2 linked regions of the Tamandua tetradactyla genome follow. The protein of the gene in region 1 interacts with the protein of each later gene in a pairwise test. Links are inferred from orthologs where the notes say so. Each region holds a gene or a part of one and is shown on either strand. Other genes may lie near its edges. The genes, in order: RPP30 and RPP14.

What was found.
Region 2: the proteins of RPP30 (region 1) and RPP14 interact in binary tests that used the Homo sapiens proteins (3 or more experiments, as listed by UniProt). The link is inferred for Tamandua tetradactyla from reciprocal best matches to the Homo sapiens genes RPP30 and RPP14.

Annotation. Positions count from the first base shown.
Region 1 is NC_135339.1:54,518,559-54,531,342, reverse strand, and holds the start of RPP30 (ribonuclease P protein subunit p30), read left to right. Parts: upstream 1-7,208; 5' UTR 7,209-7,233; coding exon 7,234-7,315; intron 7,316-10,016; coding exon 10,017-10,072; intron 10,073-10,378; coding exon 10,379-10,435; intron 10,436-10,885; coding exon 10,886-10,960; intron 10,961-12,784. UniProt on the Homo sapiens protein: Component of ribonuclease P, a ribonucleoprotein complex that generates mature tRNA molecules by cleaving their 5'-ends. Also a component of the MRP ribonuclease complex, which cleaves pre-rRNA sequences.
Region 2 is NC_135341.1:26,595,605-26,608,712, reverse strand, and holds the start of RPP14 (ribonuclease P protein subunit p14), read left to right. Parts: upstream 1-8,090; 5' UTR 8,091-8,197; intron 8,198-12,621; exon of another isoform or gene 12,622-13,023; intron 13,024-13,077; exon of another isoform or gene 13,078-13,108. UniProt on the Homo sapiens protein: Component of ribonuclease P, a ribonucleoprotein complex that generates mature tRNA molecules by cleaving their 5'-ends.

The sequences.
Region 1 (12,784 bases):
AACGCCAAAAAGAAATTCCTTGGAAAGCTTTTGTCAAGGAACAAGTTGAACATTGTCGGCTTCCCAGAGTCTGAACCTGAAGGACTTCTAATGCAAGAAAAATAAAGTTTCTCAATTTATAAATAAATAAAATCTCCATTTACTTATTGATTGAGTCAACACATATTGAGTACTAAATGCACACCAGGTATTGTTATAAGAGTTCTTTTGGGGGCACATTAATTTGTAGATTCTGTTATCCAAGGGAAGATGTCAACTAGGCAGATTGATGCCTCAAGAGGAAGAGTAGAAAGAGATGATGCCTGAGGATCTAACTCTGGAATACTCCAATACCCTGAGATCAGAAAGAAGAAAAACCAGCAAAAAAAGTCTGAGAAGGAAAGGCCATTGAGTTAGGAGGAGACGCAAGAGAGATTGGCTGCCTAAAATCAAGGAAAGAAAGCATTTCAGGGCGGAGGATTGATTAACTGAGTCAAATGCCAGGAGCTATTTCATTAGGGCCATAGAGATAAAAGCAGTCTGGAATAGATTCAAGAGACAAGGAGACTGAGGCGTTAATAATGGGGATGGGAGGTGGGGGAGTGTATGAGAACTCTGTACTTTCTGCACAACATTTTTTTATTAGACAACTTTTCTGATTAAAAAAAAAGATGAGATTCGATTCCTGGACATGCACCAAAAAAAAAAAAGATAATGAGAGAGAGAAAATGGTGACTATATGTATAGATCTACCTTTTGCAGGAGTTTTCCAGAAAGGGTAGCAGGAAATTGGGGCAGAAGCTAAAGGGGAGGGGGTGTTTAAAGAATCAAAATAGAAAGAATGAAAAGAGACTTTCATTAAAGAATTGACAGGATGCATCTTATTCTTTGTTTTCTAATGCTCAGCAGAATTTGGGGAATCCTGTATTCTTCAAAATAATATCTAAACTGAACATTTCCATCATGGTCATGACTCCACATCCAGGCAAAACTATACCTGATCCATTCTTTGAGTCATTCAGTAAACACATACAAGCTACATATTAAAAGGCAGCATTTTAAGTGCTAAGGATGGATAAGAAAGGCAGGTTCCCTGCACTGCAGATAATCAGTACCTGCTGGACAAGACAGATAAGTAAATCACTATAGCGTAATGTGAAATACCTCATAAAATAGGTATGAATCAAAGATATGGGAGCCTAGAGCAAAGAGATGCTTCTTTTTAGATACCAAAGAATTCACAGAGCTAACATTTGAGAAAATTCATCAGAAGACTGCAAGAAAGGAAGGTGCAAAGCCAACACATGGTACACTTGCCAGAGCTGTGTATTTTAGAATGCACTGGAAGATGGTAAGGGTAGACTTTAGGGAGGGGTAGGGGCAGATCATAGAGAAACGTATGCTATGTGAGGTGGGTATAAATTTTACTCTGTGCAAGAAGTGTCACATAATTTTTCTAAAGTCAAATTAAATATGACCTCTGACCACCCCCCAACCTATCTATCTGATGGGAAACTCAACTACAGTCATTATTATGGGTTCCCCTGCCCTGTCCCTCACCCCCAGACTACAGAATAGTCCTGGAATCTTGGTCCCACCAAGCAGTGCTATGTCTCCTCTGCCCTTCTGTAGTGTGGAGACCTTGACTTTGCTGGACACCTAGGATCTAAGGCCTAGCCTCAAAAGGTACATCGATCATCCCTTCCCAAAAGAAGTTTGCCCACTTCCCTGAAAGTGCCTATTACCTAAGGAAAACCAATTCACATCTCTTCTATGATCTTAAGATATTTTCCCCATCCTACGGGCTTTCTGAACCTCTCTTCCAAGACAAACAAACAAAAAAACATTCACCAATCCCTATCCTCTGCAATTACCTACCATGAGCACTAAAATGTTATTGGCCTGGGATTTTGTGCCCTAGGAAACATTTGGCAAGGTCTGGAGACTTTTTCCATTGCACAGTTGTAGAAATTTGGTGGGTAGAAGCCTGGAGTGCTGCAAAGCATCCCATGTGCTCAAGGCAGCCCCTACAAGAAAGAAATAATTATCTAGCCCAAAACGTTAATAGTGCTGAGACTGCAAAACCATGCTGTAAACTATATATTAAATTGAAAATATACAACTTGAGAAGTAGAAATATTTAGCTGATTTTTAAAAAATAATTCAGTATTCCTTGATTGAAACTGGAAACTTGATGCATTTTTCTAAACTAAAATGACAAACGCAGTATTATTATTACTGTATTGCTGTGTGCAATCCAAGAAATCAGGCTTGATTGTGCCAAATAGAAACAATATTCAGTTTTATTGATTTTCATAACCAAAAATCATTTTGCAGAAATAGAAATATTTCTTAAAAGGGATAGATTCTAAGCACAGTGGATTTTTATTCAGGGCAATGATTCTCAACTTATTAGATCCAAAATCGGCTTTTTAAATAAAATATTTTGTAATGCTCCTTTCCTAGTTTATAAACATAATTTTAAATATACTTAATTCCCAAGTTGTAATATAGTTCAGAAAAAAAAGGAAAGAATAAATAAATATACATTTAAGTATGTGAATGTTTGGGCACCACTGGATCAAAAATATAATAAAATAGATACTTGTATCTACTCCTAATAAAGGTGTTCAGATGTAAGACAAGATAACTAATTGAATGTTGTCAGCACCTCTAATTTATATGCAGTATTTTGAATAAGAGTTAAGTATGTATATATATACTTATTATTATTTATATATTTACTTACATAGCATATATTAGGTAAGATATATTAGATGATTATATATGTGTGTGTTTATGTGTATGGGAACGTGTCTGTGTGTGGGTGTATATATATATATGTGTGTATATATGTATATATATATATATATATATATATACACACACACCATATAAGTATGCTGCATTGTTAACCTAAACAGTGTGCATACTGTTGCTATGATGACATGATATTCTGAAATAGGGAACAACCCTTATAAAAAATTCCAAATAAAGCACAGTCTTCCCTCTATTTACCCATTAGTTGCATTCCTGGAAAATTCTGTGCTTATTAAAATTGTGGGAAAAAATTGTGTTTATATGTAAAACCAAGTTAGTTTCCATATTCACATAATCATAAACAGGTTTCCCTCCATATGAATGTCTGTTAAGACATTCAAAATTCGTGTAGAACAAGGGATATATGTTCATTGCACAAGACTTTCCCACCTTATATCACCCAGTCCACCTCCCAATTAGTGTGACAGGCAAAAAAATACCCACACAAATTTCCAAATGCTCCCCAGGGGTAAAATGGGAGGTGGAATAGAGGGCTTAGTGGATTGAATTAGGTACCCCAATTCAGACATGTGCTTAATCTGCATTCCTGTGAGTATGAAACTATTGCAAATAGGACCCTTAAGAAATATTTTTAGTTAAGGTGTGGCCCAACTGAATCGGGGTTGATCTCAATCCACATAGGAGGCCTTATAAAGAGAAGAAATCAGATGCAGGATTAGAGAGCGCCACAGGGAGAAGCCAGAAGTCAGCAGAAACAGGAAGTGCCAACAGAAAAAAGCACATCTCCATTTGATGGGAGGCAGGGATACACGCCAAGGAACCCCAAGGACTGCCAGAAGTCAGAACCAGAATGTATAGGGTTCAGCAAAAAAGCAAGTCTTGCCAACATCTTGATTTGGAACTTCTTCTAGCCTCAAAACCATAAGCCAATAAATTCCTGTTGTTAAGCCAAAACCGCTTCATGGTATTTGTGACAGCAGCTCTGGCAAACTGAGACAGAGTGTTGTTAGAACACTGTTGTTAAGCAGTGACTTAGGGCAGGGATCAGCAAACTCTTTCTGTAAAGGGCCAGACAGTAAGTATGTTAGGTATTGTCGGCCAAGATGCAAAACAAAGGCTATTGTGTAGCCATATAAATGTCAAGAAAGAAAACAAATTTCTACAAGGTTTTTTTAGAAAATTCAAAATACAGCAGTGGCATCTCATTACAATTTTTTTGTAATATAGGTCTACTAATGAGAACAGTGGGATCCATTTGGGAGATGTGCTGGATTGAATAATGTTCCCCCCAAAAAAGGAATTATGTCCATCCGAAACTTCAGATTGTGACCTTATTTAGAAATAGGGTCTTGCAGATATAATTAGCTAAAAGGAGGTCGCACTGGATTAGGATGGACCCTAAATTCAAAATAACTGGTGTGCTCATGAGAACAGGGAAATGTAGACACAGACACACAGATAAAGAATGGAAGCAGAAATTGAAATGCCACAGCTGCAAGCAAGAAATTCCAAGGATTGCTACCAAACATCAGAGTAGGAAGAGCTAAGGAAGAATTCTTCCCTACAAGTTTCAAAGGGACCATAGCCCTGAGGTCATCTTGACTTTGGACTACCAGCCATCAGAACTGAGACTAAATTTCTGTTGTTTTAAGCCACCAATCTGTGGAACTTTGCTACAACAGCTCTAGGAATTTTCTGGACAATTTATACTAGATTGGATTAAGTTCTGTGCCCTGATGAAATATTGCCACATTAAGCTTATGTTTCATAAGTTATGTTAACACTGATTGACACCTGCAGGAGTCCCATCTATAGTCATACTTATCAATTCTGACCAGTCTACTCTAAAATCCTCAAGACTTTTAACCGTCCACGAAAACACACTGTCTCCTAATGTTGTGCCTTTCTTGGCCACCATCTCTAAAGATTTTTAGTCACGTCAAAATTCTTAACACAGATAGCTTTTATATATTTATTCTCTTATCAGCTGCAATGGAAAATACCAAAAATAATTCAGTTTTTCATGAAATTATCCTGCAAGTTGTAAGCCATTTATCCAACATTCTGAGCAATAGGATTTTTCGTTATTGCATTTGAAAATGCTAGTTTCTATTTAGGGCCTGATCTTCCTGTTGCTTTCAATAAATATTACTTGTAAGCATGCCTTCTGTAAAAAGTTTCAGTTGCCTGGGCAGTTATTTTTCACTTAATATGCAACAATTTCAAGACAGCAATCTTTATTTAAAAACAAATCCTATTGACATTTTGGTTCTCTTTATTTCCATTCATTAAGTTTATCATAATGCATCTTTTCCATATATCAGTTATAATCCTTCCTTAATTTCTTTCAAAATGGCTTCTAAAGTTGCCTATTTTGTTCCAGTACACTTTTCATGTTAAAGAGGTAGGGCTACTCTTTATCTTCTCAATCAAACATGCTTTAATGTTAATTTTTGGAAACATACAAACCTTCTCCCTGTCTTTCATTTTCCCACTTTCAATATTATTTTCTGACCAGAAATTTCCAGAGTCTTCTTTAAGCTCCAGATCCTTGCTGCTTCAGCCACCCTTCTAGGCCAACTTTTCACCAGCCTCCTTCACTGCTCCTCTCCTATCCCATCCCATCATTTCCTTTTTCCCACTCTTCCCTCCCCTATTCTACCTCTTTCCTTTCCTTCTCTCTCCTGCCTTGCTTTCCCTTTCCTCTCTCACTTCTCCCCTCCAGCCTTTCCTTGTCCTCTTCATTCCCTTCTCTTCTCCACTCTCCCCATTCCACTGAGAATTGAGCAAATCCCATCTAAATCTACATCCACATCTGTTTCTACCAGTTTCCCTAAGCTTTGATTCCTCAGATGTGAAACACTGGTGTTGACAAAAATAGTACTTAACTCACACAGTTGCTTTGAGAATTAAATAAGATATTCATATGTGGCTATCTATTTAATCACCTAATCCTCAGTAAAGGGCTCAGTGACTTGTTATTTATTCTTTTTCTTTCTCACACTTTCTCTCCCTTTTTACCTAGGCTTAGGGTGCAGAGGAGAAAAAAAATTCCAGGGGTACAGTCTACAGCAGCAGCATGGTGACTTTCAAAGGAAAAGGCCCTCTTTAGTCCCAATGCTGCCATTTAGATGACAATTAAATTATGTTATTTACCTTCACCACACATTCATGTTTCTGACCAATCTAGAGTTTGTGGTCATAGGCGAAACTGTCTGTAGGATCCCGCAAAATCAACACTATTTTCTGACGCAAAACAAACGGTTTGCTTCTCATGACTTTGTTCTATTTGCAAACGTAGTATTTCCTTCAGTTCTCACGTAGGAAAATATCAAGTATTGCAAAAGACGAAATATTCCTTCTTTACAAAATTTAACTAAGAGAAGAATTGCATTCTACTACAGGGAACAGATTCTTCATAAAACTCTGAGTCCAACAAGGAAGTCACATAAAGAAGTACTACATAAAATATGGCTATGGACCACTAATTTTGACGGTAAGTACAGAAATCAAAAATGTTTAGAAAACTTTACCAGCACTCTGGTATTATCCAAACATCCATACGCCTGATCAGTGGACTCATTCAACAGAGCATAGAGCAATTGAGATGTGGTCAAAAGCTTATCTATACGAAGTCCAAAATATGGAAACATCAAATGTGTGAACATACAGCCCTTTGTACATTTCTCAGATGGAGAATTGTAAAGTCCAAAATATGGAAACATCAAATGTGTGGACATACAGCACTTTGTACATTTCTCAGATGGAGAATTGTGAAACACTTCAATTTTGCACCTTCCTTATCAACCCTGTGTCGCTCAGCGCTCAACCAAGGGAGCCCTGCCACCTCTTGGTTGAAGATGTTGACTACTGCAACAACGAGCAAAGAGCATCAACGCGATCCTTTCAGATCGGACAATAAATTGCCCTTTGCTCGGGCAACCCTTTTCAGATGCGTTAGGATCCAGCTCCGTACCCTCGTCCTCCACCCCATCACGTTAAGCACGTTTTGAACGATTGGATTGGTAGGGGGAATTGTAAGAAAAACAAGTTCTTTCTGACTCTTTAAATAGCGCTTCCAGCCCTTAGCAAAAAGGATAGCAAAAAAAAAAAAAAAAAAAAAAAGTCACGGAAGACGCTCAGTAAATGCATTTCGAATGAATCATTTTCTACATTATTTTAAAGGGAGAATCATGGGGGATTCGAACCTCTCTATGGGGAAATCACACATTTTCATTCGAAAGACAAAAGGATTAAGTGGGGCTGTTGATTTTGATATCCTAAGTTTTCCTCGTATTTACAGGCGGACGAAAGTCTCCGGGACTCCCTATATTCAAATATCCAACTCCAGCAAATATTCCACTGGAGGGAGGGACGGACGGATGCCGCAGGCAAACTACAATTCCCAGCATGCTCAGGGGCGGTCCGGCGACTGCGCAGATGGGCGCACGCGCGCTGTCATGTGACTGCAGCATGGCGGTGTTTGCAGATTTGGATGTTCGAGCGGGTTCCGACTTGAAGGCTCTGCGGGGGGTGATAGAGAACGCCGCTCACCGTGAGTCTCCCGAGTTTCCCAGGCCTCCTTCAGGTCTTCCAGGGTTTCTGGAAGGTCCCAAGAAGTTGATGCCCGCCGCGGTCTTATTCTGATCCCAGACCCGTGGAACACTAAGGAACTAGGGAAGAATGTCACTAGTTCAGCTCCTTTTATTCTGCAGGTTGGGGAACCCTTGGCCTAGAGGGGACTAGAGATTTGTTTAGGTCCTCACGGCTGAAAGGGATGGCCGAAGTTAGGGCTAGACTCCAAATGTTCAGTTTCCCAAGCTAGTGCTTTGAACATCACTCCTCCCTGCCTCTCACGACAATGTCTGAGCAAATGCGGGAATCGAGTACGTAGAGTGCTTGGGGGCTCAGAGAAGGGGGAGAATATAGAGGTGCGTGTGTTTGAATAATGTTATTTATTTAGAAGGGGGGTTAGGTAGAGGAGGGGGACACACTAGGCAGCACAACCAAAAGGTGGAAGTGTTGCAAATATTTGAATTGAAGAGAAGCGAAGGTCCTGAGTGATGAGGACTAATTATTGGGGCTAAGCATGGCTTCTAACTTCTTAGACTGTAAAGTGAGGGGATAGAGAACTTAGAAGATAGAGATTCCTTCATTAAGACCTTTCCCTCAGAGAAAGTTCTCAGCTTGTTGTGAGAATTGATAACTGATACTTCTCAGAAATGGTGCTGGATAAATTCACTCCCTGGCAAAAAGAATCACCGCGTTTCTTCTTGCCTTCCCCGTCACCCCCCACACCCCCATGAGGCATCCTTAAATCATTTTTCTTTCCTTTGCAACACAGTCTAGTAATGTCGGCCTGGGGTCTGCTTTCCTCATCAGTAGAAAAAGGGATTGTGCATGATGATATGGGTCTTTTAACACTTATATTCTTTGATGATTCTTTACTTGAATGTAGCTCAACTCAAGTCTTTCTTTCCTGATGCAGCCTCTTACTGACTACACCATGAGCTTCTTCAGAGAGGGGCCATAGTCTTATTCTTCAATATATTTCCTGGGCACAACAGTTACTCAGCAGCACTGGCTCATGGCAGGTTCTCAGTTAATGCTTATGGAATAAAAGACTGAACATTTTTTAGAGATAAATACAGAAAAGAAAAATTAAAATGGTTTGTTTAACAAGTTACTTGAATTAAAAATATGTTTGAAGGATATATGGTAAAGTATTGACATTGTTAGTCAATCTGTTTCTTTAAAATTAAGCAGAATTCATGACATAAAACAGAAAGTTACCACACCTTATATAAGTCAGAAGGCAAAGCACTGTTATTTGATGGGTGGAAAATTTTCAAAGAATGTAGAAAACAGAGTCCCTGTTTTTAGTTTGCGATGTGATAAGAAACTAGTGATTAACTTCAGAGATATGCTATCTAAATAATAATTATGCTAAAGACTACTTAGGGAAGTATTCCTAAGTTACCAGATAAGTAGAAAAAGTTTTCTGAAGAAACAGAATCTAGTTGAGATTTCTGAAGGGCAGTAGGGATATTATTTGGTGGCCAACAATATAAAGGATATCCAAGTGGGGTACAAGAGGTTAGAGTAGACTTTGGAGTGAGTAGAGAAGAATAGTTAAGAAGTGGAGCAGGTTGATTTGACTAACTGGGAGAAAGTAGAGGCCAAAGTATGACAAATTTCTCTTCCCCTCAGGTGTTTACTTTTAAAGATCATTTTCTTCCTGGGCCTTTTTCTGACCCCCTACACCTGGCTTCATTTTGCTGTATGCTGGATTCCTATAGAATCTTTACTTTCATTAACAAAATGCTTTTTTTTTTTTTTTTTTTTTGCAGCTCCTTGTTTAATTGCCTTATTTCCCCCAATAGAGTGTAAGCTTCTTGAGGGTGAGGATTGTATTGTTTTATTTACCCTGTGCGCTCAGCACCTAGCAGGGGGCCTGGCAGGTGGTGGATGCTCAGTAAACATCTGAAGGAGGAAGAGAAGGAAGAAGGAAGGGAAGAAGTGGAGGGAGGGAGGAAGGAAAGAAGGCAGGAGTGTAGACAGACTGGTGAGAGAGAAGACCCCTATTTTTCATTAATAGGCATTATCTTTTAATATTTGTGCCATCATCCCCATTAAGGTTTAAGTGCCTTAAAAATAGAAGTCATAATTTAGACATATGTTTGGTAGCCGGATGTTCAGAACGGTGTCAATTGGATGAGAATGATAAAGTAAGCGCCTGGCCTCAAGAAAATCTTTTGATGGTGGGCAGCTCAAATGGGAAGTAGATGGTGGTGTGAGGAAGTTAGTACTTCATTTCTCTTTAGGAGAGAGGCTTTTGAAGGATATAGGATCAGAAGCAAAAGAAATGAGTGAAAAGATAGGTGAGAGAGAAAAAGTATTAATAGAATGAAAATGAACAAAGGGGAATGAAAGAGAATGATGGTTGGAAAGGAGAAGCACAAAATAGAGAGTCTTTAGTATCTTGCTAATCATATAAAGCTAGACCTCTTCTAAAGTACCTCAAATGTGTTAGCTCATTTAATTCTCATGAAAGTTGTATGACCTAAGTCCTGCCATCTCCATTTGACAGATGAAGAATTGAAACTTACAGTTAAATAATTCTAAGTGGTAGCACTTGGATTTGAAACTAGACAATCTGAGACCAGAGTCTGCACATCACTCTGCTAAAACAGGATGGGCCTGTATGTACAGAAAGGAGTTATGTTTAACAAGAATCTTTAATTTTTTTTTTTCAGTTGGCTATTCAGTTGTTGCCATCAATCATGTTGTTGACTTTAAGGAAAAGAAACAGGTAAAATACAATTTCTGAGCTTAATAAACCAATGTTTATAGTTACTTGTGTTTATATTGGTAATATGGATGCTACAAATGAACATACTTCTTAAATGCACTCTCTGTGTGCAGTATTCTCTTGTATGTTAACAGTTGTGAATTGATGCTTACTGTGCAAATGATAAATATTTTTGTGAAGAACTGCGTGCTGTAAGGATTCTTAAAGTTGATTCAACATTAAATAAGTCACTTTGATTACCATTTTAAAGGTGCCTATTGACTGAATTTGTAATCACGATATTTAGTCCTTTCTATTTTTTTGTAGGAAATTGAAAAACCAGTAGCTGTTTCTGAACTCTTCACAACTTTGCCAATTGTACAGGTAAGTGTTTTAGTGTGAACAAAGCATAATTCCTGTTCATTTAATTTAGACATACCCAATTATGTGTGCTTTCTGTAATCTGGATTGTACCTTCCTTTGCCTAGCTACCTTACTTTTCCATCAAATCTCAGCTCTTCTGTGAAGTATTCTCTTATCATCCCTGGTACTTCTTTGGGATCTTATCCCTTGAAATTAAACAACTTTCAGGTTATCTCTGTTATGGTTTAATGTATGTGCATCTCTGCTTCTGTAGTTATATATAAATTCCTTGATGACAATGACTAGTTAGTTTTGCTTTTGTTTTCTGTTTTGGGGGTTGGGTTTATTTGTTTTTTTGATCTTCAGTGTCCCTTATAGCTGATACTTTGTAATGAATACTTTGTGATGATAAAGAGGAAAGCCAACCAGTGGTATTTTGAGCTGCTTTTGATGGTCCACTTTTACTTATAGGGAAAATCAAGACCAATTAAAATTTTAACTAGACTGACAATTATTGTTTCGGATCCATCTCACTGCAAGGTTTTGGTAAGTTCATTTTTTTCCTTCTCTCTTTTTGGTCCTGCAAGTTTTATTGATTAATGTTGAACAGTGTAGCTTTTCATCTCACACCATACTGACATCTTCCCCACCCCTTCCCATAATACTGACTCCTCCCCCATCCTCAGATTTCTCTTAGTTCTACTCATCGTACCTGTATAGTGATACCATGATCAAAGAATCCTTTGGCAAATCCTGTTCATTCAGTTCACATGTACCAGGCATAAGGCTGAATGCTGAGCATGATACTATGAATAGTATATATGACCTTTGAACTTATGAAGCTCACAACTTAATTGGCAAGAAAAGCACTGAGCAAATAATAATGACAAATGTAAGTAAGGTTTAGAAGGGGGGTTGGTAAATAAAAGATGCTGTGGGAGTGTGTAACAAGGTGGCCATCTTGATATTCTTCTTGAGGAAGTTGATATTCAAGCTGAGGCCTGAAGAACCATTGTTACATGGGTGACAAGTTGGAGAGGTAGTGTTCTCACACAGAGGATGGATTGTGCAAGGGTCCTGAAGTCGAAAGGATCGTGGTATGTTCTGGGATGTAAAACAGGGCCAATTGGGCTGAGCCTAGTGAGCTGGCTAGCCTGAAGTGAGGTTAGAGAAGTATGGGTGAGGATTCCAGGTTCAGTGGGAAGCCCCTGATGGTTTTAACCAAGAGAGTAAAATGATGAGATTTGCACTATAGAAAAAAGGATCAGAGATTTAAGGAGGAATTTTGAGAGTCATCCAGTAGGGAGGATTGTCGGGATTTGGTGATTGATTGGATGGAGGTGTTGACTGAACCACCAGGTAGGTAAATAATGGTACCTTATCCAGAGAAAGGGCACACAGAGCAGCAGTTTTGGGGGCATTGTATTTGGGATGTGATGAATTATTGTGAATTCCAGTGGAGCCTTCAAATAGGCCGTTGGAAATGAAGGTGGGGCCCTTAGAAGCGTGATCCCAATTACAGCTACTGATTTATAAGTGGTCATTCTGTAGAGAGTAATTGAAATCTTGGAAGTAGAAAAGACTGGTCAAGGTATGACATGAGAAGAGTAAGGGAAAGAGTCTCAAGGAATGTTAGCACTTATTGGTGGAGTAGAGAAGGATGAGGTAGGACTGGAGATGAGCAGGGACTGCTGAGAAGTAGGAGTGAAAACACGAAGGTGAGAAGGGAAGAGGAGAGAGGTGAACAGCCTCAAATGTGCTTGAGTGATTGAGAAGGGCTAAAAAAATGTCTCTTGGACAGGGAAGTCATCAGTGGCCTTAGCAAAAATTAAAAAATGCAGCTAGTGTATGCTTCTGACCTTGCTGAGAAATTTGATTCCACAGATGAGAGAGTAGGGTGGTTGGTGGAGAACCTGCTGTATAGTAATTTAGGTGGGCAAGACTTGAATATGTATGCCTGCTTATGGTAAGGACCCAATGGGGTAGAGAGAAAGTGAGCAGATACACTTTTCAGAGTATAGGTGGCTATTTTATCTTTAGCTAGAATGGATACCTTTATCATAGAACAGGAGTAATTAAAGAAATCTTGGAAAGACTCAGCTATGAGCTAATGGTGCCCCCCCAGAGGCTGCTAGAGAAAGAGGTGATTTTTTCTACAGCTGCAAGACAGTGTTATGGTTCTCTAGGCCCAGATAGATATAAATGAAGCTTATTTTGTAGATCATAAAGATTTTCATTTCTCTTGTTATGAGCATCCTGGAGGCCCCTTTTTGTCCCCTTCCCAAGTGGGGGTGTGCAGGAGGAGGGCAAAGAATCCTTAGTCTTGACTTTTTGTAAGATCTAGGGCCTGCTCTGCCTCAGCACAAGTCT
Region 2 (13,108 bases), on another chromosome or scaffold:
TAACATTTGTTCCCCCTATTATTCATCTTTATTCCATATGTTTTACTTGTCTGTTGATAAGGTAGATAAAAGGAGCATCAGACACAAGGTTTTCACAATCACACAGTCACACTGTGAAAGCTATATCATTATACAATTATCTTCAAGAAACATGGCTACTGGAACACAGCTCCACATTTTCAGGCAGTTCCCTCCAGCCTCTCCATTACATCTTGACTAACAAGGTGATATCTATTTAGTGTGTAAGAATACCCTCCAGGATAACTTCTCGACTCTGTTTGGAATCTCTCAGCCATTGACATTTTATTTTGTCTCTTTTCACTCTTCCCCCTTTTGTTTGGGAAGGTTTTCTCAATCCCCTGATGCTGAGTCTCAGCTCATTCCAGGATTTCTGTCCCATGTTGCCAGGAAAGTCCACATCCCTGGGAGTCATGTCCCATGTAGACAGGGGGAGGGTGGTGATTTTCTTTTGTTTTTAATTCTTGGTATTCCTCTGTTTCATCTCTGTGTTTCATCTCTGTCTCTCTCTTTGTCACCCCCATGCATGGGCACATGCAGACACATTCTCCCCTTCTCCCCTAACAGCTGGAGGCCTGGCTCTTCTGATCCATCAGGTTTTATCTCTTCCAGTGCCATTCCTTTAACCCTGTGGGCTTGGTTCCCTTATAAGTCACTTGTCCCTCAACCCGCCCCACAGGGAATTGGATGCTGTTCTCTTAACTTCTCCATTCCCTAGAAGGAGGCAAGAAGTGGAGGATCATTTTTATGCGGGGGTTGTGAGTGTGGCCACAGATAGGGCAGTGGAGATGTCTGCAAATTACCTGAGGGAGAAAGCCCTGCGCTGCCGTCTGGTGTCCCCAGCTGTCCCTGGGAAATTAGGGCCCAGGGCTGCTGCTCTTTAGGCTGGAAATAACCAGTGTGGGGGCTGGGGATGCCTGTACTCAAGGAGAGTCAAGACACTTAGCAACAGGAGAATCCCTCTGTCTTGGCTCCTAGAAGAACCTTTCCTTGATTGGTTCCTGAATCTGTGGTCTCCAAACACTAATGACAATGAATAGGAACCTTAGGCCACACAGAGGCTGGAGACCAGCTGAGCTTCAGCAGGGGAAGGGAGGAGAAGAAGGATTCCTTTTTTTAAATACAATTATATTGAGATCTGTTCACATACTATATAATCATCCAAAGTGTACAATCAGTGGTTCACGGTGTCATCATATAGTTACACATTCATCACCACAAACAATTTTTGAACACTTTTATTACTCCAAAATAAATAAATAAGAACACCAAGAACATCCTATACCCCTTATCTCCCCCCTATTATTTATTTGTCTTTATTTTCATCTGTCCATATACTGAGTAAAGAGAGTGTCAGTCACAAGGTTCTCACAATCACACGGACACACCATAAAAGCTATATAATTATACAGTCATGTTCAAGAATCAAGGCTACAGGATTATAGTTTAACAGTTTCAGGACTTCCCTCTAGCCACTCCAATATACCATAAACTGAAAAGGGATATCTATATAATGATATCATGCATAAGAATAATGTTCCACATGCCCTCTCAACTCTGTTTGAAATCTCTCAGCCATTGAAACTTCATTTTGTTTCATTTCTCTTCCCCTTTTGGTCAAGAGGGCTTTCTCACTTCCACGATGCCAGGTCCAGGCTCATCCCTGGGAGTCATGTCCCACATAGGGAGGGAGGGAGGGAAGAAGGATTCTTCAAGGCAGAAACTGGACTAAGGTGACAATCCCAATGACCCCCGGTCAAAGCTGGCTGGTGGGTGACAGGGTGACTGGCCTTGAAGGACCACTCCTGAAAGGCAGCTGCCAAAACATGAGCTTGAGGACGGGTCTACACTCCCTTACCAAAATCCCCTACTAAATCATGGGGCTAGATGTGGTAGAGAACTCATAAATTTTCTGATCTTAGAAAGGTACCATTGATACCAATCAAAAGCAGTGGTTTCTCTGCCCGATGCACTCAAATGAGCAGTTCCTGAGGTATCAGGTTTCAAGAGAGAAATAGTTTATTGCTAAAGCATGAAGCAGGAGATCGGATGACCTACTGGCTTAAAAATCTGTCTCCCCAAACTGTAGTACCTCTGATAGTTTTATAATATCAAAAGATGGGCAGATTGTAGGATAATGAGTATAACGGCTTGAGATGATGCCGTTAGAGATAATCTAATCATTGAGCATGTGCAGATTGATTACGTGCTTAGTCACAGAATGTGTGTAAGAAAATGGCAACATTAATATGATGACAGGTATGATTTTAGAATGAGGTATAGGTCATTTCTAGGTTAAAATTTAGCCACTGTATTGTCAGGTGGGCCAATTTTGGTTAAATCCAGCTCTATTTAGCAAGATGGAATTGGGGTGGGTTAGTTCTGGGCTGACTCAAGATCCTTCATTAATAAACATTAGGGGCTGTCTTTAGTGATCATAAGACTCTAAGGTTGAAAACAGGGTAAGGGGTACAAGTGAGGGTCAGTCACAATGTTTTTACAATCACAAGATAAAGGCTATAGTCATACAGTCATTATCAAAGATCAAGGCAACTGAACTTCTAGGAAGATGGTAGAATAGGAGAGGCTAAGTTCACACTGGCTCCATGTAAAAATGAGAGATGGAACAGAAAAAATCACCAGGACAATGGTTCCAGGGTGCAAGTGACCAGAGAGGATCTTCTACCTTGTATAAGAAGGCCCTGAATAAAAAAGTGGAGAAATTGAGACAGAGAGGATGGGGTAAGTGTGCTCAGTCATGAATCCAGCCTACCCCACAGCTGGCTTGGGAGGTTTTTCCTCACAGCTCCACAGCCAGGAGTGTTCATGGGGAACTCAGAAGCTAACAGACTTGCTTTCCTTGTGCACAGAAATCATTTTGTTAGAGTACAATGCTTGCTCTCTACCACTGAAACATGCTGCTGTGGCACTGGTCTTTTTTGGTGGAGACTTGGGGGCCCTCTCCCAGGGAGGAGGGGGAGACACAAAGTGGTGCCAGTCCGACAGCTGGCAGTGAAAGAGACTTATTTGGGTCCCAATATCACTCCCCCTCCCCCATGGATGCCCAGAGACCTCAGGCATGCATGGACAGAGAGGAGAGGCCAAGGAAGCCAGCTGAACTGAATGCTGCAACCAGCTGCCAGACAATTACAGATTGGCTGTGGGTACGAGAAGCTGAAATACCCAGTCCCACAGCCCAAGGTTATCTTGGGGCCACCAGACCTATCAGGCACACAACTAGGGTCTACACTGAGATGCACACTGCCCATCCCCTGGCCCTGGGGTTGGCAGCTTTCAGTGTGCAATGAGACCAGTGGCCCTGGCTGGAGTTACATTGGGTCTCCAGCTCAACCAGCACCTACAGGCGGGGAGAAGTGGGCCTGAGGAGAAGAAGTGGTTCAAGAGCATCATCTGCTGGGAAGAAACAGAAAGTATAGTCTGGCAAATTGTCTATCTGCCTAGCTTTCAGTAGAGCCTCAAGTAGAACTGCAATGCCCCATGAAATCTTGAATGTGGTTTAACAGGGAAAGCCCGATAAGCCAAATCTAAAAGGGGATCATCAATGCAATTCCCATTCTGAATGAAAATTTGATCCAGCCAAGAATTCTTTATCCTGCCAAGTTGTCCTGCAAAGTTAAGGAAGAGATTAAAACCTTTATAGACAAACAAAGGTAGAGAGAATTTGCCAACATGAGTCTTGCCCTTCAAGAAATATTAAAGAGAGTTCTGTCAACTGATAAAAACAAAAGACAGGAGAGGAAGGTCTGGAGGGGATATCAATAAAGGTAACTTAGAGGGTAAAAAGAGAGAGAGGGAAAAGAAAATATAGATTTGACAAACAAAAACTAAAGAATAAGATGGTAGATTTAAGAACTGCCTTTAAAGTAATAACTTTTAATGTTAATGGACTAAACTCACCATTTAAAAGACACAGATTGGTAAAATGGATTTTAAAATATCCATCTATATGCTACTTAAAAGAGACTCATCTTAGATCCAAGAATACAAATAGATTGAAAGTGAAAGGGTGGAAAAAGATGGTCTATGCAAGTTATAACCAAAAGAAAGCAGGAGTAGCCATACTAATATCAAATAAAATTGACTGTAAAAGTGATATATATCAAAGAGACAAGGAAGGACATTATATATAAAAGGGACAATTCATCAAGAAGAAATAACACTCATAAATGTTTATGTTCCCAATCAAGGAGCTCCAAAGTACATGAGGCAACATTGGCAAGACTGAAGGGAGCCTTTATTCAGGTTATGAACAGATGAGTAAAACACTAAGGAAAAATAAATAATGGGGGGGGGGAATAGAGGTAAAATAAATAGGGTAGATTGAAATACTAGTGTTCAGTGAGAGGGAGGGGTAATGGGTGTGGGATGTTTGAGGTTTTCTTTTTTCTTATTTCTTTTTCTAGAGTGATGCAAATGTTCTAAAAATGATCATGGTGATGAATATGCAACTATGTGGTGATATTGTGAGCCACTGATTGTACACTATGGATGGACTGTGTGTGAATATTTCTCAATAAAAAATTTTTTTTAAAGAAAATTTTTAAAAAGAGAGAGAGAGAAAAAAAACCTGAAGGGAGCAATAGATGTTTCAACACTAATAGTGGAAGACTTCAATACACACCACTCTCCTCTATGGATTGAACAACTAGACAGAGGATCAATAAGGATATAGAGAATTTAAATAATGTGATAAATGAATTCAACCTAAGTGATATATATAAATCATTACACCCCAAAATATCAGGATATACATTCTTCTCTAGTGCTCACAAAACATTCTCCAGGATAGATCATATGCTGGGCCACAAATAAAGTCTTTATAAATTTAACAAGATTCAAATTATTCAAGGCTCTTTCTCTGATCATGATGAAATCAAGCTGGAAATTAACAATCACCAAAGAACCAGGACTTTCACAAATATATGGAGATTAAACAATGCACTTAAAAACAATCTGTAGGTTAAAGAAGAAATTGTTAGAGACTGGCAAATACCTGGAGACAAATATAAATGAAATTACAACATATCAAAATTCACGGGATGTGGCAAAGGCAGTGGTGACAGGGAAATTTATTGCTCTAAATGCCTATATGAAAAAAGAACTGCTCACCTGGAGGAACTAGAGAAAGAACAGCAAACTAACCCCAAAGCAAACAGAAGAAGAGAAATAACTAGGATTAAAGCAGAAATAAATGAGCTGGAGAACAGCAACAACAAAAACAATAGAAAAAAATCAACAAAACAAAAATTTGGTTCTTTGAGAAAATCAGTAACATTCTATTAGAAGTCCTAGCTGGAGCAATAAGGCAGGAGAAAGGAATAAAAAGCATCCAAATAGGAAAGGAAGAAGTAAAACTTTAATTATTTGCAGATGACATGATCCTATACTTTGAAAATCCTGAGAAATCTATGACAAAGTTACTTGAGCTAATAAGCAAATTCAGCAGAGTGGTAGGATACAAGATTAATGTACAAATATCAGTAATGTTTCTATACACAAGCAATGATGTAACTAAGGAGTCAACTGAGGAGTAATAACCTCACTGAGGAGACAAGCGAAAAAAGCCATTCAAAATAGTCACTAAAAGAATCAAGTATTTAGGAAAAATTTAACTAGGGATATAAAGGACACAGAAAATTACAAAACATTGCTAAAAGAAATTAAAGAAGATCTTAACAGATAGAAAGCCATTCCGTTCTCATGGATAGGAAGGTTGAATGTCATTAAGGTGTCAATTCTACCCAAACTGATCTACAAATTCAGCACAATAACAATCGAAATTCCAAGAACGTACTTTGAAGACTTGGAAAAACTAGTTATTAAATTTATTTGGAAGAGAAAGAAACTTCTAATAGCTACAGATATCCACTGTGGAAGACAGTTTGCTGGCTCCTTAAAAAGCTAAATATCAAATAAAAAACTAAATATCAAGTTGCCCTGTGACCTGACAATACCAATACTAGGTATATACCTGAAGAGCTGAAAACAGTGACACAAACAGACATTTGTACACTGATGCTCATAGTGGCACTATTCATAATTGCCAAAAGATGGAAACATCAACCAACTAGTGCACAAACAAAATGTGGTATATACATATGATAGAATTTTATGCAACAGTAAGAAGAAATGAGGTCCTGATGCATATGACAGCATAGGGAGGATATAATGCTGAGTAAAATAAGCCAGACACAAAAGGACAGTTTTCACTATTATGACTCTGGTAAAGGGAGCAAACTCCAAATCATACAGCCCAGGAAGAAAATCTGTACTCATATATAGCAATAAAGTAGATGTTGCATCTCTACCGCTACAGTGTGTAAATGACAAGCAATGGTTTCCATATATTTCACATTTTTAACATTGACCATTCATAATAAAGATTCTAAAAAAAAAGATCAAGGCAACTGAATTATAGTTCAGTTAGTTTAGGTATTTCCTTCTGGCTATTCTAATATACTAAAAAGTAAAAGGAAATATCATATAATGATTCAAATAATCATAATCATTTGTTAAATCCTAACTTCTCTGTTACATTGTGGTGTGTAGAACATCTGTCATGCAGCGCCCCCAGCAGGGGCTGGGGCACCCCTACCTGATGAAATGCATTCATATTTCTGTGTCAGGTATGGATATCTATGTAAATGGAACAAAAGCTATAAAAAGCCTCGCCTCAATTCAGATGAAGTGTTGGCGCCAAATGAGGAAAGATTTGGTTTCCTTTTTTTTTTTTTGGCTTTAGAACTGCAGATAAGGGATCCCGCATTCACTGGTCTTTGCAGGGGAAAGAAGACTTTGCAGATGCATGTGGTTCAGACCTCCCTCTTATGACGAGAATGGGCAGGTCCTGATTTTTATTTAACATTATTATTATAAAAATGAAGCTCTCTCACTTTAAAACAAACCAAATAAAAAGAATGCCAAAAAAAATGTGACAGTCTCCTGCAGCCCACCCCCCTCAAGCCACTGGGAATTCTTCTAGACGTTTCTGTGCATCTGCACACATCCATACATGATATAAACAGAGAGACCGCACAGTTGGTGTGTGAGTTGTTTCTCACATGAACCAGGGGCGCGCTGGACATTACTGTGGTCCCACCCTTTGTGCTTTTCATTTACCTCTGTATCTTGGGGCTCAACTAGGTCAGAACCCACAGACCCACCAATTCCAGGAACAGGGCTGGAGTCCTCCAGAGAGAGTGAGGGGCAGAGGGGCAGGAGAGGGTGTAAATATCTTTACAGAGACTTCTCTGAACACCTAGAAGAGGACCTTTGACTCTTAAGAGAGGATCTCAGGACCCTTCCTTCTTGGCATCCCAGAGTCTTTGGAAGGGAGGTTTCAAGAGTCACTTCTGAGGAAGGCTTCCACTACTATTTAAATAAATTCCAGAAATGCTGGATCAGATGAAGTTAAATAGCCTAGTTCTGGTTCCCACACAAGCCAGGGGAGGACCAAAGCAGGGGAGCAGGGAGGAACCCAGAGCCATCCTCAGGGGGCTTGGAATTGATAATCTGGGTTGGAGTTTCTGGTGTTTGGCAACATTAACTAGTGTGCTGCCTCTAGAGTCCCTGCCTATAGTGGGTGCTGCCAGAGCCCTACGAGGTTCCTTCTATTGACTGCTGCACCCAACCCCAGTTGCTATGAGTGTTGGCTGCTGAGGGCTCACAGCTTCCCCTTTTCCCCAGAGAATCACCCTCAGAAGACCAGAGGTACCTAAGAGGTTGCCATATGAAATACAGGATGTCCAGTTAAATTTGAATTTCAGGTAAACAAAGAATAATTTACATATTTCCTGTGCCTATTTGTAACTGTTGTGTACCCCAAAAAAGCCATGTTCTTTAATTCTAATTTAATGTTGTTGGTTGGGATCTTTTTTTTTATTCTGTTGTTTCCATGGAAATGTAGCTCACCCAACTGTGGGTGGGACCTCTTGATGAGGTGCTCTCCATGGAGGTGTGTCTCCACCCACTCAAAGTGAGTTCCTTACTGGAGTCCTTTAAGAGGAAAACATTCTGGTAAAAGTTTCAGAGCTGACACAGACAGAGACATTCGGAGATGCAATAAGAAAACGCCCCCTGGGAAGCTGTTTCAAGCCAGAAGCCCAAGGACCAGCAACACCAGCCATGTGCCTTCCTGACTGGCCTTTCTTGAATCAAGGTATCTTTCTCTGGATCCTTAGTTGGATATTTTTATGAACTTAAAACTGTAAACTTGTAATTTAATAAATTCCCTTTATAATAACTAATCCCTTTCCGGTATATTGCATTTCCAGCAGCATTAGCAAACTAAAACATGTCCCATTCGTCATTTATCTGAAATACGCATGTAAGAGTGCATCCTGTATTTTTATATGCTAAATCTGGCAATCCTAATGCTGGAAGACAATGACTGAGGGAGAGTAGAAAAGTTTGGCCACTGGCCTCAAAGACTGAAAGCTTTCTGCTGTCATTTATGCTCCAGGGACCCCTGTGGGATCAGGCTGGGCTAGACTTGAGTTGAATCCACATCTGTACTTAGCTTTCTCTACCCCATCCCGCTTGCCTCTCTCCCTTATAGGTTTCAGATGAGAGCTCTTCCCCAATAAATCACTTGCAGAAAGATCCCTGTCTCAAGTGCTGCTTCCAGGGACTCCAGCTTAAAGCACCGTCTGCTCTGCAGTTTTCAGTTTGGATATGATATTCAGGGTTGCCTCAAAGAAGCAGCTACCAGCCTTATCGTCATATGGGTGCTATGGAGTATCGCACCTTGGCTTTGGAGCCTTTAACTACACTGGACAAATGACAACCTCTCTGAGCTTCATTTTTATTCATCTGCAAAAGATGATAATAATAATGACATTTGCTGGGTTGGTAAAATAATGTAAGCAAGCACTCTGGCACATGACAGGTCTCCCTAGATGAAAACAACTGTGGTTTCATAGCTTTTAACTTCTGATCATTTTCTCCTCCTTTGTCCTATCTTTCAATCTGATGCCATAAGTGGGTGCTATTTTCATTTGATTAAAGAAGAATTAAGGCTGTAGAAGTTAAGAGACTGGAATCCCACCCAGGCCTCTCCCCAGCCTTTTTTTTCCCCCCAAAGTTGAGAAAGCTCTTTTAGCCTTAGCAAAATTCACTTGGCACCAGTTAACAAGACAGGGAGGGGAGCTGAACACAATAGAAGAGAACAAAATGTGGATTAAACTTTTTCTTGACTGCCAAACCTTCCAGGAACATAAATATTCTCAGATTTGCCCCAACACCTTTGCTCTGAAAGATGAGAGAGACAGAGGGTGTGGGAATGGTTCCTCAAGGGCCAATGACTCCACCTAATGGAATGCTGGACAATTTTTATAAAGGCAGAGGCAGCCCTGTGTGTTTTAATTTGGAGTCATGTTAGGATAAACTGTTAAGAGGGAAAACCCCTTATACCATATCTCTGGGAAGACATTTAAGAAACTAATACCAGTTTGCGTCTGGAGAAGAATGAGAGGGAAACCTACCATTCATTGCTTATCCCTTTATTCCTTTTGAAAGGATGCCTTCAGCCTAAATTCCCATTCAAAGATAAAATTTAATTGAAAAACAAAAATCAACCAACTCTAACTTTATCATTCAAAGGCATCTCTTTTATCCTCAACTCTGGATTAACTAGACAGCACTGAGAAAATTCAGGCAATTAGGAAGGCACTTGATTTTCAGGGTTGGATGCAGAAGGATAGTGAAAATTATCCAAGGTTCTTTGAAGCACAAAAGGCATGAGCTGCTCTTGTGTCTCTGGGCTGCAGCCTGGCAGGATGGGTTTGCCAGATGGCTGGTTTAGGGTACCCTCTCTCATTACTGAGTGCTTCCTGGGTGCCAGGTGTTTTACAATTTTTTTCAAAAGCTTTTTTTTTCCTTGTGATTCTGTGAGGTAGATACTCATAATCTCTCCCTCTGATGGATGAGAAAACAATAAGCGGCAAAGGATGGATTCAAAGCAACTTCTGACAACTTCTAAAATCTAAACTTTTTTGTCTAATTTTTATTAATAAAACCAATCAACATACAATATGAACATTCTTTTTTATCACATAACTGTATATTCATCATCATGATCGTATCTTAGAACATTTGCATCAATTCAGTAAAAGAAATAAAAAGAAAATAGAAAAGAAATTCATAGATACCATACTCTTTGCCCCTCCCTTTCACTGATCACTAGCATTTCAATCTACTAAATTTATTTTAACATTTGTTCCCCCATTATTTATTTATTTTTAATCCATATGTTTTACTCGTCTGTCCATAAGGTAGATAAAAGAAGCATCAGACGCAAGGTTGTCACAATCACACAGTCACACTGTGAAAGCTATATCATTATACAATTATCTTCAAGAAACATGGCTACTGGAACACAGCTCTACATTTTCAGGCACTTCTCTCTAGCCTCTCTGTTACCCTTTAACTAAAAAGGTGATATTGATTTAATGTGTAAGAATAACCTCCAGGATAACCTCTCAACTCTGTTTGGAATCTCTCAGCCATTGACACTTTACTTTGTCTCATTTCTCTCTTTCCCCTTTTGGTTGAGAAGGTTTCCTCAATCGCTTGGTGCTGAGTCTCAGCTCATTCTAGGATTTCTGTCCCATGTTCCAGGAAGGTCCACACTCCTGGCAGTCATGTCCCATGTAGAGAGGGGGAAGGCAGTGAGTTTGCTTGTCGTGTTGGCTGAGAGAGGGAGAGGCCACATCTGAGCAACAAAAGAGGTTCTCTTTGTGGGGTGACTCTTAGGTCTAATTTTAAGTTGGCTTAGTCTATCCTTTGTGGGGTTAAGTTTCATATGAAGAAACCCCAAGATTGGGGGCTCAGCCTATTGCTTTGGTTGTCCTTACTGCTTGTGAGAATATCAAGAATTCTCCACTTAGGGAAGTTGAATTTTGCCCTTTCTCACCATTCCCCCAAGGAGATGTTGCAAATACTATTTTATTCACTTTTCAAATTCTTCTGGGATTTATCGAGGCATCACTCTGGACAAACCTACAAAGTCTCATGCCCTACTCAAGGTTCCATGTACTTATGGTGTTCAGTTAAGCTGTCCACATAAGTTATATTAGGAAATGCACCAGTCAAAATATAAATTTTGTACCAAATAAACATTTTTTACTTTAGCCTCACACATAAGTTAAAGTTTTAAAATATTAATTACCATCTATTTTCAATGCCCTGCATTATTGACATTCCTTTGTTCTTCCTCATGCAAAACATTTTTAAATTTGTACATTTAGTCACTATCATTATACACCCTAGGCATTCCTAGATTATACCATCTCAGTCTTTATCGTCTATCTTTCCTTCTGATCTCATTTGTGCCCTCAGGCTTCCTCCCTCTATCATTCTCACATTCAGTTCCATTCAGTGTTCTAACATTACTGTATTACAGTTAGGTAATATTGTGCTATCCATGTCTGAATTTTTACAATCAGTCCTTTGCACAATCTGTATCCCTTCAGTTCCAATTACCCAATATCTACCCTATTTCTTTCTCCCGATGACCTCTGTTCTTAACTGAAATATCCAAGTTCATTCATTAATGTTAGTTCTTATCGGTGAGACCATACAGTATTTGTCAAAATCTAAGCTCTTTTGAGAAAGAAAATGCCACTGTTTGTGGAGTCTGTGTTGATTCCCTCCACCCCTCCCTCATTTGCATCAAGTCCTGTTTCCTGTCAGAGGAGAAGGCAGGGAAGCAGGGCTTGCAGGATTGGAGAGTGTGGCCAAAGCTAGGACTGGAGCTTTGAGAAACTGGAGACAATGATTCTGAGAAAAGAAAAGATGGAGAATGTCTGAGCTGACCCAGACTCTGCTGTTTAAGGCAGGGATATCTCCACACCCTTCACCCCCAACCCAGGCAGAACTGGCACATGCAGTTATGAACAAATGCATTCAGTAAATACATGTAGAGTGTCTGCTGGGTGCTAGGCACTATGCCAGGTATCAGAACACAGTGGTGAAGCAACAGAGACAAGGCCCTGGCCCCCTATAAACTCCTGAGTCACATGCACACAACTGGTGGTAGGTAACACGGTGCAGAGTATGGAGCACCAGCTGAGTCAGATGGTCTGCTCCATCACGTACAGTTATGAGGTCAAGAAACCTAGTCTCTCCGTGCCTCAGTTTCCTCTTCTGCAAAATGGCATTAAAAGAAAGAATAGTTACCTCATAAGATTGTGTGAAGGTGCATGAGATAACATATGTAAAATTTTATGGAAAATCCTGGCGCGGAGTAACCGCTAGATCAGTATTAGCCCCTATTATTCTATGATTGCTGTTAAAGTGAACACACTCTGTGTTTCATGGGAATAGGGACCATGTCTTCTTTCTCTTCATTGAGTTCCCAACACCTATAATAGTGCGGAGCACATAACAGCACATCCTGGAGATATGGCATGGGGCTTTTCCCTTTTCACAGTATATCTTAACATCACTGCAAATTAAAACAGTTCTTACATGCAGACATTCGCACACGCAGCTTTCCCGGAGTGGGCAGCAGGGGGCGCTGGGCCCGGCAGCGCTCAGCTCCTGTACAGGATGTAAGCCTAGGTCCTTAGCGTGCAGCTGCGCTGTGACTCACATCCTCTCCGAGACACCATGCTTCCGGGGGCGGCACAAGAAGCAGCCAAACATAAACATTCATGGAGTGTCCGGGGTACCCAGCCCCTTGCTGCTACGTGGGAGCTCCCAGCCTTTGCAAATTCTATCAGTGAACAGGCGTGAGGACAGGTATCAGGCCAGGCCGACGAAAGCGGCAGAGGCGGAAACGCCGTGAGAGCAGCTATTCTACCGGAGCGGATTCAGTCGGCCGTGCTTGTTCCCCCACGGCTGCGCGTCCCACGTGCGCATGCGTAAGGCGGGAGCAGGCGGCGGGTGGCGCAGGCTGGCTGGAGGTGCACGTGGGCCCCGGCTTGGAACGTCAAGGAGAGGCGGCTGCGGACCGAGGACAGATGCTTCCCAGGAACCTCTCCGGTCCTCAGTGCAACGCGGTTTATGGGCTTGGTCACTGACGGTGGTTGCGGGGAGTGAGCGGGACCTCGAGTGCAAAGCACGCTGC